Linked DNA regions of Alligator mississippiensis. The protein of the gene in region 3 purifies or fractionates together with the protein of the main gene of each other region. This does not show direct contact. Links are inferred from orthologs where the notes say so. Each region holds a gene or a part of one and is shown on either strand. Other genes may lie near its edges. The genes, in order: MTMR10, SBF1 and MTMR2.

Region 1 (3,742 bases), on a different chromosome or scaffold from region 3:
AAGGTACATCTGTAGTAACATAATGAAATTTTAGTTCCAGAACAAGGTCTTACAATCCACATGTCTATCACATAACCAAGAAGTTTTATTTCTTAATAGAAAGAGATAGGACAAGAGTCAAACTTCACAAATTCTGTTCTAAATTATGGATTTTAAAGAATTAACCCCACACTATTTCTTCTAACACATTTGAAATAATGTCCTGCATTCTTATTTCAAAATGCCTCATCAATTCCAAAAAAATGGGTGTTTAATAGAGTACTTCAAATCTTATAACTTAAAGGTGCACAAAATAGGTATTTGTAATCAATGCGTACACTGTACAACCATTTGTTTTAAACTAACCAAGGATAGCTACCTAGGGCACAAGGGCAAAGCTTCGTATGCTCATGTGAATCCAACTGCAGAACCAGGGTTGCAGTCCAGTGATCCAAAGTGACAGAAGCCTAAACCATGTCACCAAAGCTACCAGATTACAGGTACTCAAGTAAATATCAAACTACAATTTATCATGAATATGTAGAATGCATGCCTGCCTATGCCTAGTTTGGCAAGGATTGGAGCGTCCTTTCTCAAGTTTGACAGAGATGCAGGTGCAGGCCTGATGTCCAGAAGTTTGTCCAACTCCTCTCCTCACTATAAATTGGTTCAATAAAAGATGCCACAAAACAGTCTTGCCTCTCAGACATTTCCTGAACCATCACTGCTAGGACAACACCCCACCTACTATGTTCAGTTAGTTTTAAGAGCTAAAGAAAACTAGAAAAGCTTTCTTCCGACAGCACAAACTAGATCTTCTTCCTGAATTACAACTTTATTTCCTTTCATTTCTTTCATACTAAGGAATGGAATAAAATGTATTAATAGTAACAAAACAGATTACAACTTGCATCTCTGTTACTAACATGACTAGTATAAGTGGAAGCCTTAAAAATAACTTTATCTAGATATAGCTTCTATTTTTTACCTGGCAAAAGCACCGGTTCCAGCTTCTTAATCTTGGGTTCTGGAGTTATCTTCTCTTCAGCCTGAAACATGCACACAAAAAAGGAACAAATGGGACTTAAACTTATGCACATGTACAAACCAGGTCTTGGCAGAATCAGAGCCCTAGTGAGCCTTAAAGGCTCTGGTGCTGGAATAGGATCCAGGTGGATGGAGCCAGAAGCATGCACATACATCTTCTTTTACTGTCATGGGTGTAAGCCAGTGGGTCTCAACATAGTTAGAGACTCAAGGGCACCCCTAGGAAAATGCCAGCTCTCAGCTTTCCCTCATGTTTTGACTACAAAAAAAACAACAGAACAATTCTTCTGTTGCAAAGAACTCAGAAAGGCTACAAAAAGTCAGATGTTTTTTAACACTATAGACTCCTACTTAAAATCTCTGGCTTTATCTTGTGAATCACATGTGGGTGTTTGCAAACCTAGTGGCGCTAATATTGTCCGGCACCCGCAGAAGGATCTCACAGCACCCCAGGCGCAGCAGCCCCTTGCTGGCAATCGCTGGAGTAAGTTTACCCGTAGGGAGAAACTTGTGAAGCCAAAGCTTGATCTGTTTGGTTTAAAAGGTGCCGTAGCATTTTGTTTTTACTTCCAGAAATAAATTAAAGTACAGCACCACCCGCGATGCAGAAAACTTTTGCCAAAGAACCTAATGGTTTCCACTTCCAGAGAAGGGGCTCGGCCCAGAAATACAAACCCCGAGGAGCGCTTGTCACTATCATTTCTGTTTTACTGAGAAAACGCAGACACCAAACATAACCAGGTTTGGACCAAAGTCCTAGGGGCTCCTGGGTCGCTACCCCTTCAACTCCTCCGCCCGCCCACCCACCCAGTCTGGACTGCAAGTGTCCCACAAGTGGCACGGGGGCGCGCTCTCCCCCGGGCCCCGGAGCCAGGAGCCGAGGTGACAGGTGAAACGTCCACCTCCACGGGACAGGCACCGGCTCCTGAAAGTCACCCGGGGTTTAAACACGGGCACGGCCCCCGCCCGCAGCAGCCCAAACAGCGACACGCGGGGAAAGGAGCCGGAGCCGAAGCCAGGCCCGGGCCGCCGCCGCCTCGGGGCTCCGCGCAGGTGCCGCCGGGCCCGGGCAGGGCGGGGCGGGGCGGGGCGGGGTGTTACCTGCGGCAGAAGGTAGGACTTGAAGGTGGGCTTGGGGGGCTTGAGGGAGAACATCGCGGCCCGGCGCTGCCGCGGGACGGGCGCTGCGGACGCCGGCTCCGGAGCTGCGAGGCGGCGGCGGGCAGAGGAGCAACCCCGGCCGCGGCCCCCGCCCTCCCCGGGGAGGAGTCAGCTGCCCGGGCAGGCCCGGCCTGGGGCTGCCCCAACCCGCACGGAGCCCCGCGGCCCCTCCCCGGCCGGGAGGCCTCCCCCCAGCGGCGGCGCCGGGCCCTGGGCGGCCATGTTGGGGGGCCGGGCCGGGCCGTATGGTACGGTACGGCGGCGCGGAGGGGCCAAGCGGCGCGGGCGCTGCCCCGTCTCCTCCTCGCCGGCGCAGGGCCTTTGTGAGCGGTCAAGTCACACAGAGAAAGTGGCCGCGGCCGCTGCCCACTTGCCCCGGCCCGGAGCCGCCCTCGGGGCTGAAGAAGGGGCAGGGAGGCGGGAGAAGAGCCCGGCGGCAGCACCGAGGAGCCCGCGGCCGCCAGCCGAGTCCTCCCAGCCCCGGCGCGAGGGCCGGGCTGACAGGCCAGGCCAGGCCAGGCCGGGGCGAGTGGGCGGGCGGGACCCGCGCGGTGTGTCCTGGCCTCCCGCACCACCGACTGCCCCCCTTGCGGAGCGGCGCGGCCGGCAGGGCAGGGCACGGCGCCGCGGGCCCCGCAGAGAGACAAGGAAAGAAAGGGTTGAACGGCTTTCCAAATGAATGGCTTCCTCCACCTTCTCCAGCCAGCCGTGGCATGGGTTTGGCTTGGAAGAAGCCGGATGCCAACGTGTCTTCTGCCGTGGTTGGCACGACCTTGTACAAAAACCATGACTGAAATGGAAAAAGATCAGTCGTGATCCATAGCTGGAGGGTATAAAAGAGTAAGCGTGCATGAGCATGCACACACACACACACACACACGCACGTGTGAGGACAGATCTAAGATTTTGAAAGGGGGGGTGCAGATGGTGGCGTGCATCGTCACATCTAAAATAACACCTGTTTTTTTCCAGTTAAAAATAAACTAGATGCTTTCCTCATAGGCCAGGGGCCTCAAGCTGCACTTTCTGTTTACGATGTGAGCAAAAACCAATATAACTTCATTGGAATGAGTTAAAACCAGTCTGCAGGGCTGTGAAACGGGCTTGGTTACCAGGAGCAGGGGACAGACAGCAGAATGGCAGAACAAAGTGATGGAACATCAAGACCATTAAAAAGAAGAGGGTCATTAACACATGTAGAATAAAAAGTTTAGAAGGGATCGGGTAGGTTATGCAGGCAGTCCTCAGTTTACAGTGTTTTGACTTACGGCGCTCAGCCATTTACACCCATGTTATTACTTACGGCGCTGGATCCCTGCACTTACAGCACTACAGGGACATTTACCATGAGCAAAACACATCCCTGGATCAGTTTCTCAAAAAACCATCAAGTGGTCCTAGGTCTCCCCAAAATCTCCCCAAAGCAGCTCTTCTGAATTCCGTGACCCTGATAAAAGTGGTCCTTCACCTGATTAAATAAAATGTGATGTGATTAGTTACTGTATTGCCCTGTTTAATCGATTTATGTACAGTACACTTTAGAAAACTTTGTACA
Region 2 (3,742 bases), on a different chromosome or scaffold from region 3:
TTCTTCGGAGGCTCTGACACACACGCAGCCCTCTCTCCTGGCACAAACATCCACAGCCGGGCACCGCGCCGATGCAGAGGGACTTGGGCTGCTTGCAAGGCTTCGGCCAGCTGTAACGCATGCCCCAATTGGACAGAGGGGCTGAGCACGCTGCAGCGCAGGGTGCACCGTTAGGGACTGTGCTGAGCTGGAGGAAAAGCCATTGAGCCTTTGCTTGCAGGCCAGAGTTACAAACACGCCAGGTGCGCTGGCATCCAGCCCTGCCATGGTAGGATCCCTCAGTGAGAGAGCCCCCGGCTAGAGGCAGCGTTTGCTTTAGCCCCTGTCGAAGGGCGAGGGCAGGGCTGGCTGCAGGGAATGGTGCTTTCAGAGGCCAGCATGACTCTGCACTGGCAGGTCCTCCCTGAAAGGGCCAGGCCAGGCTTCCTGGCACAGAAGATGTTTCTTGCCAGGGAAAGACAGACCAACCTAAACAGTCTTGTAAGCATGACAGGTCCACCCCCGGCACAGCCCCCACAGTCAAATCCCACTTCCTGCCTATCTCAAGTACCACAAAAAAGGTTTCTCTGACTTTTGGCTCTGTACAAAGTCAGGGAGAAAGACTAGCTTGAGGCGCCAGACTGCTGCCTCCCTCCATCCTCCGCCCCGAGGAGCCCCGGCCCCCGATCACTTGGCAGTAAGCACAGCACCCTGCCAGAGTCGGACCGGCGCGCCATGTGCAGGCTCTGCCAAACCTTGCTGCAGAAGGATTTGGGAAGCTTGACTTCATTAGCCCACCCCGGCAAGCCGGAGGCCCGGCCTGCCAGGAGGTCAGACCCCCGAAGGGCTGCGTGTACCTACAGTGGGCTGCAGGACAAACCTGCTTCGTTTCATCTTGGCAAAGAGCAGGCCAGGCCCTCCATGGCCGGGCACGCCAGTTCTGGCTGTCAGGACCAACCCAACCAGTAAGACGGTGAGTCACTGTGGCTGACGCAAGAAGCATTCTCCAGACTCAGACACCACCCAAGCTCCTCCGCGGCCGCAGGAGCACGACAGCAGGAAGCGCGAGATGGGGAACAGGCAGCGCTGCTGCAGGGACCACAAAAATCACCCACCGGCTCCTGGGAAATCAGTGTTAGTGGTTGGGCCCCCGGGGGTTTCCGCCTACAAAAAGCAGGGCTGCAGCCCCTTAGCGCCCCAGCGTATCCCGCACGCAGCTCGGGAAAGCCCTGGACCGCTCGTCAGGGACAACCGGCATCTTCTGCATGCCAGAAGACACCCAGCTACAGCAAGGCTCAGCCTGAGCGGGTGCCAGCCCCTCGCGCTCCTCCTCCTCTGTCTCCTGAGGAACTTACTGACCTACTTCTTCTACCTCCTGCTGCAGGGACATTAGTGCACAGCCCGAAACCCACGAAACAAGGGCCCTCTTCTCTCAGCTCCAGCGGGGGTGGCGGCCTCGGGGCCCGAGAGAAGAGACCCAGACAGGTCACGGCGGGCGGCCCCAGCTCCACAGGGACGAAGGCGGCACCGAACCCCCTCTAACGGGGAGCAGCCGCTCTCCGCTCACGGTCCAGCATCGTCAGGGGCTGCCCGAGGGCCTTGCACACGCGCGTGCAGCTGCTCCACGCACCCCCGAGCAGCACGGGCAGGGCAGGGGTGACTCGGTCACAGTCTGCAGGTGCCCGTCGAGCGGGCGAGGCGTAAGGGGTGCCGGCCAGCGGGATAAGCCGGCACGACGCTGCTCGGACAGATCGGCCGGTGCCAGCCGCCGGTCGAGAGGCGCTCGCTCACGACAGGAAGTCCCACGGGTCGTGTAACGCCGGCGGTCCGGCTGCGCGGCCGGCCCCTGCTCCGCTGCACGGCGCGCAGCACGGCGCACACCCCCCACAGACAGCTGCCAACCCCGCTCACTCGCTCCCTCGTCCGTGCAAGCCCCTGCCCCGTGCACGCCCCTCGCACCAGCCCGACTCCCGGGCGTGCTCGTGGAAGCGTGGCAGGCCCCTCCGCCTCGTCGCGCTGCGCGTGCAAACCCGGCTGAGGCAGCGGCGGCGGGGCCTGCACCGGGGGGGGGGGGGAAGAGGGGGGCTGGACCATTCACCGCTGCCCTCACCGCCCCCCCCGGCCGCACTCACCGCGCTTGTCCATCTCGTAGCCCACCAGCACGAAGTAGTCGGCGAGGCGGGCCATGGCCGGGCCGGGCCGGGCCGGGGGGGGGGAGGCGGCCCGCTCAGGCCCCGCCGCCCCGCTCCGCCGCCCGCCCGCGGCCGCCGCCCGCCGCCATCTTGCCTCCGCCCGACCTCCCGGCTGTGGCACTGCGCCTGCGCCGCACGGCGGAAGGGGGCGGGGCTTCGGCGGCGCCCGCGCCATTGGCTGCCGCCGGGGAGGGGGCGGGGCCGCGAGGACGCCGGGGTGGGCGGGGCCAAGCCGGGCACGGGCCTTATACGGCGGGACCTGTATGGCCCCGCCCCCATGGCCCCAGGCCCGTCTAACCCTGGTCAGTAGAGCCCCAGCCCCGTATAGACCGGGCCCCCTATAGCCCCTGTCGCTGTGGCCCCACCCTCATATAGACCTGGCCCCATATAACCCCTAGCCCCCGGTTCATATAGGCCCAGCCCCGTATAGCACCTAGACCCCATGTAGCCCCCAGCCCATATAACCCTGGCCTAATATGACCCCAGGCCCATGTAGCCCTAGTCCCATATGGCCCCAGACTCATACAGCCCCGGTCACATATAGACCTGGTCCCATATAGCCCCAGGTCCGTATAGCCCTGGCCCAATGTGGCCTCAGCCCCCTGGCCCCAAATAAACGGGGGTGGGGGCGGGGGAGAGACCCCAGGGGAGCGGCGGGGGCCAGCACTGCGAGGCCCGGCTTCCCCAGGGAAATGCAGCTGTCTCTGGGGCGCGGCGCAGCCGCGCCGGGGCAGGGCAGGGCAAGGGGACGGGAATCCTCTGCCGCGGAAACCTCAAGGGAAAAGGAAAGGGCTGTGCTTCATCCTCCAAAACCTCAGGCCTTTCCCCGCGTTTCCTGCGGGCCTGCGATCGCTGCCCGGCAGGAGGGAGCGGCCGGCCCAGGCGAGGCAGGGACGCGGCCCGCGGCACAGGCTGCAGCTGGGGCTCGCTCGCTGGCAGCGGCAGGACGTTGGCGGCCGCAGCCCCCTGTACCCCGGGGGCAGGGGCAGGGGCGGGGGCGGGCATCTCTAGGCTGCCTGCTGGGTGTCTCGTTGCCCTGGGAGCGGTCTTGGGCAGGCGGCCTTGGGGCTAGGTCTCGCTGCGCCCTGGGCAGCACCTCCAAGCTCTACGGCAGTCGCTATTCCAGCCTCCCGTTGTGATTTCCACTGCTGTCGATGGCCCCTGTGCCTCCATGCTGGGGAGCTTGCTGGGGGGTGCTACCTGGTGCCCCCCCGCAGCAGGGCAGCACAGCGGCTATGCCCAGCAGAAGCCAGCGGTGCTCAGGACAGGATCTCTGCGACCCCAGAGCTGTGATAGTGTGGCCCCATGCCCCGTGCAGCCCGGGCTCCTGACCGCTGGGAGAGCGGGAGGAGGAGGGCACCGGGCGCTTGGAGCAGGCAGCAGCTGCCGCAGCTCCTGCTCCCGAGAGCGTAGCATCAGCGAGGCGAGGGTCTGATCACCGGGCGCAGCCCCAGAGACGTCTTCTGCCAGGGTTTATCCCCCATACAGGCCATGCCAGGTCCAGGCCACGGCGGCAGTCGGACGCCCTTGCAGTGGGCTGCCCCGGGAGCTCAGGCAGGGCTGGGCTGGGG
Region 3 (3,742 bases):
TGCATCTGTTCTCCCCACTTATGCAGATGTGCCCCCATGATCTCCTGGGCACATCTCAGTAAGCAAGGAAAGTCAGGGTTTGAGGGACCTGATCCTGAGCTGGAATTCCTGGGACATGCAGGTCTCAAAGAACATGTCACCTGTTGCCCCACAGCATCAACACACAAGGACAACAGGAAACATACATTTCACCCAATAAAGCAGATCAGGTGTGCAAGAACACAGTCCAGCACAGTTGATCCACTTCATTTGAAAACACCTATAGGTGAGATTACACATTACAATTAAGACTATACCAAGAGCACTTAAAACTTGAATGATCACATATTAAGGCTCATTAACAAATGCATCTTAATATTATGCCACTTTGGATGAGAATTATCTTTGAGCTGTGCTACCCATCTTGAGTTAACTTCTGAGTGTTCACCTAAGATTAAGCCATTTTCAGTCCTCCAGTATCCCAGGAGGCACTGCATGATGACTGACAGCTGGGAATAGCCTGGTAACAGGTGGGTGGGGAAGGGGTGAAGGGAGGGAAAATGGATGGAGGTAGGGGAGTCAGGGGACAGGGGTGGTACTGCAGGAGGGAAGATGGAGTGGGTAGGGAAAATGGGGGAGGGGGAGAGGAGCTACCGATCTGCTGCTCCCCCTACCCCAAATTGCCCTCCCCACCCCTAGATCGCTCTCCTGCCACAACTGCTCTGCCCCTCACCAGTTCCTCCACCCCCCCAGATCACTGTCCTGCTGCCCCAATCAGCCTGAGTAGCAGAGGTGCCAGTGGGGGGTACCCCCTCCCTGCCTGCTCCTGGGGTCCCTGCAGACCACACTGGCCCTGCTCACTTAGATCCAGCCCCCACCAGGCAGTGCAACTGAAGGAGAGGCAGGGGGAGAAGGCAAGGAATTGCCAAGCATTTGTGCAGCCCAGCGGGGATGGATCGGGGTGCATGGGGTGGCACAGGCTTTGGAAACCCAGTAGCAGGAAGGGAAGGCAAACCCCTCCCCACTGTGACAGCCACCACTGCTCTCTAGCTGATTAGGGTGGCCGTTCAGTGATTTGAGGGTGAAGAGGCAATCCAGGCGTAAAGAGGCTGATCACAGGGTAGAGAAGGAACCTGGGGCAGCAAGGGGTAGAAGGAGCAAGTGAAACAGTGGGGGTGGGGGGGTTTTACCCATGGGCAACTGGTGCCTCCTGGGTCGGGGGGGGGACCAGATCACCAACGGGGGGGTGGTCCCCAGCAGCTGATCGCCAAGCCCAGAACCACCAGCAGTGAAACCAGAAATGCACTTCTGCCGGCACTTCCAGTTTCTCAGCTGGTGCTTCCACAGGGTGCACGGCCAATCTCCGGGGGTGCACGTGCACCTGCATGCACCCCTATGCATCACCAATGGCCTTACCCCCTCCTCCCTTGCCTATACTGTGACTAGAGAATGAGCAAGCAGGACAGGCATGCCGCCCCTCGCCCAGCCTTGCTCATCAGCCCTCTAGTGGCAGGTTTGACTGTGCCTATTAAGAGGGTATTAACCCCAAATATGTGACTGATCACTAGCACTAGTTAACCTTGACACAGACTAACATTCCTTAGCTTTGCCCAGAAGAACTTTTACAATCTTTCTCCAATGCCTGATGAAGGGTGTTTGTGCCGGAAAGCTTACAATTAAATAATTTTTTTTTGCAGACGAAAAATCTTACCATCTCCACTACGAGTCCTGATCGCCTTTTCCTCTAGACCCATACGGCTACAAGCTGGCTACCCAACATGTCACCTCGCCCCAATTCTCCCCCGTGAAACCCTCTGGCAAAGCGTCCCTTTCCCCACTAGCGCTGGTCTACATCACTCCAGTAGGCGCCTGTCCTCTCTCTGCAGGTCGCTGTGGCGGATCTAAAAGGTCCCAAGCCAGCTAACGCTTTGCGCGGGCATCGGGAAGATGCCAGGGGATGGGATTTCTGCGTCGTCAGTACACCTGCTTTAAACGCCAAGGGAAGTGCACGCACGATCCCTGCTAAAAGAGCACTGCCAAGGTGGCGACCTTGAGCAGGGAGAAGTTAACCAACGCTGGAAAGCCGGAGGTCAGACACCATCCTCGCCATATCACCTCGCCGAAACAATGCGTGTGCCAGCCAGGGTTTCACTGGCAGTGAGTGCAACTCGTCTCCAATGGCGGTCTGCCACAGCCACATAAAGCCACATGGTTGGTGCCACCTTCCACGCATTGGCCAAACCAGGCACGAAACGTGGAGCAGCTACCAAAATCCCTCATCAATCCGAGGTCCTCTCCTTTGTGCCAAGCAGGTCGAGAAGGTGAAGGCAAGGCAGAGGCTGCACCTGGGCCCTTCACTTTGGGTTCCCGCCCGCGCCAGGGAAGTGCCAGCCACCCACCCACCCCCGACCCTGCCCCGGGCCCGCGGCTCCTCCGCCTCCCGCTCGCGGCCCGCGGCTCCTACCTGGACAGCGAGTCGGCGCTGGGCCGCCGCGCCGCCGCCGCCGCCGCCGGGGGGCCGAGGCTCTCGCAGCTGGAGCTCTTCTCCATGCCGGGAGGCTTGGGCAGGCGGGCCGGCAGGGAGGGAGGCGGCTCAGGCAGGGGGCAGCGGGCAGGAGGCGGCCATGTCCGTCCGCCCACAGTGCAGCGCGGTCGGCCGGCGCCAGGGCGGGAGGGAGGCAGGGAAGCAGCCGGGATGCGGCCGGGCGGGATGCGCGGGGCGGTGCCAGACCCGCCCGCCTGCCCCGCATCCCACCGCACCGCACCGCACACCCACACCCCAGGGCCAGGGGTGCGCGCACACACATAAACCCACACCCCAGGGGTGCACACACACACTCCTTGGGGCCAGGGGAGACCACACACACACAAACTCACACCCCAAGGGCGCACCCCCACGCACACACAAACCCATACCCCAGGGGTGCACACACACCACCCCAAACATACACCACATTGGGGGCCAGGGGCACACCCCCCCCCAACACACACCCCCATACCCCAGGGGTGTGCACACACCACCCCAAGCATGCACCACATTGGGGGCCAGGGGCACACACACACCCATCCCACACACACACACACACACACAAACCCACACCCTAGGGCCAGGGGTCACCCCCCCACACACACACACAGAAACCTACACCCCAGCAGTGCACAGACACCCCCCCCCAGGGGTGGGAGTACACACACACACACACACACACACACACACACACACACACAGCAGGGCCAGGGCACACACCCCCACATACATATACACACCCCAGGTGCACACACACACACCACACCCCAGGGCCAGGGGTGCACACACATACCCCACATACACACACAAACCCACACCCCAGGGTCACACACACAACACCCCCAACCCACCGACACAAAAACCTGCACCCTGGGGCCGGGCAGTGCGAGCCAAGGCTGACAGACCTGCCTGGGTGGGGCGCGAATGCAGCGCGGACATGAGCCCACATGGAGCCGTCGCCCCCCTCAGCCTCGTCCTCACAGCCGCTCCAAGGGGCCGGTACAGGGCACGTGGCCAGCGCCCACTGGCCCTCGAACTAGTCCGAGAGCCCCTGCACACGCCAGGCTGGGCAGGCCTGTTTGAGGTGCATTGGGAATGGGTCCGTGCCCACCAAGTACAGCTAAAAGCCACCTTAAGGTGGGGGTCTCTGAGTGCACATCGTGTGTGGGGTGCGGGGTAGTGTGTACAAGGTGTGCCACTGCTACTTGTCCCCAGAGAACCAAGTGTCCACGCCCA

What was found.
Region 1: the proteins of MTMR2 (region 3) and MTMR10 purify together in Homo sapiens (affinity purification with mass spectrometry; 5 studies listed by BioGRID and IntAct, with this or other methods). This does not show direct contact. The link is inferred for Alligator mississippiensis from reciprocal best matches to the Homo sapiens genes MTMR2 and MTMR10.
Region 2: the proteins of MTMR2 (region 3) and SBF1 purify together in Homo sapiens (affinity purification with mass spectrometry; 6 studies listed by BioGRID and IntAct, with this or other methods). This does not show direct contact. The link is inferred for Alligator mississippiensis from reciprocal best matches to the Homo sapiens genes MTMR2 and SBF1.

What each region holds. Positions count from the first base shown.
Region 1 is NC_081834.1:35,308,356-35,312,097, reverse strand, and holds the start of MTMR10 (myotubularin-related protein 10), read right to left. Parts: upstream 2,637-3,742; 5' UTR 2,182-2,636; coding exon 2,128-2,181; intron 1,029-2,127; coding exon 968-1,028; intron 1-967.
Region 2 is NC_081827.1:1,961,867-1,965,608, reverse strand, and holds the start of SBF1 (myotubularin-related protein 5), read right to left. Parts: upstream 2,225-3,742; 5' UTR 2,167-2,224; coding exon 2,112-2,166; intron 1-2,111. UniProt on the Homo sapiens protein: Acts as an adapter for the phosphatase MTMR2 to regulate MTMR2 catalytic activity and subcellular location. Promotes the exchange of GDP to GTP, converting inactive GDP-bound Rab proteins into their active GTP-bound form.
Region 3 is NC_081824.1:446,672,321-446,676,062, reverse strand, and holds the start of MTMR2 (myotubularin-related protein 2), read right to left. Parts: upstream 2,618-3,742; 5' UTR 2,530-2,617; coding exon 2,444-2,529; intron 1-2,443. UniProt on the Homo sapiens protein: Lipid phosphatase that specifically dephosphorylates the D-3 position of phosphatidylinositol 3-phosphate and phosphatidylinositol 3,5-bisphosphate, generating phosphatidylinositol and phosphatidylinositol 5-phosphate.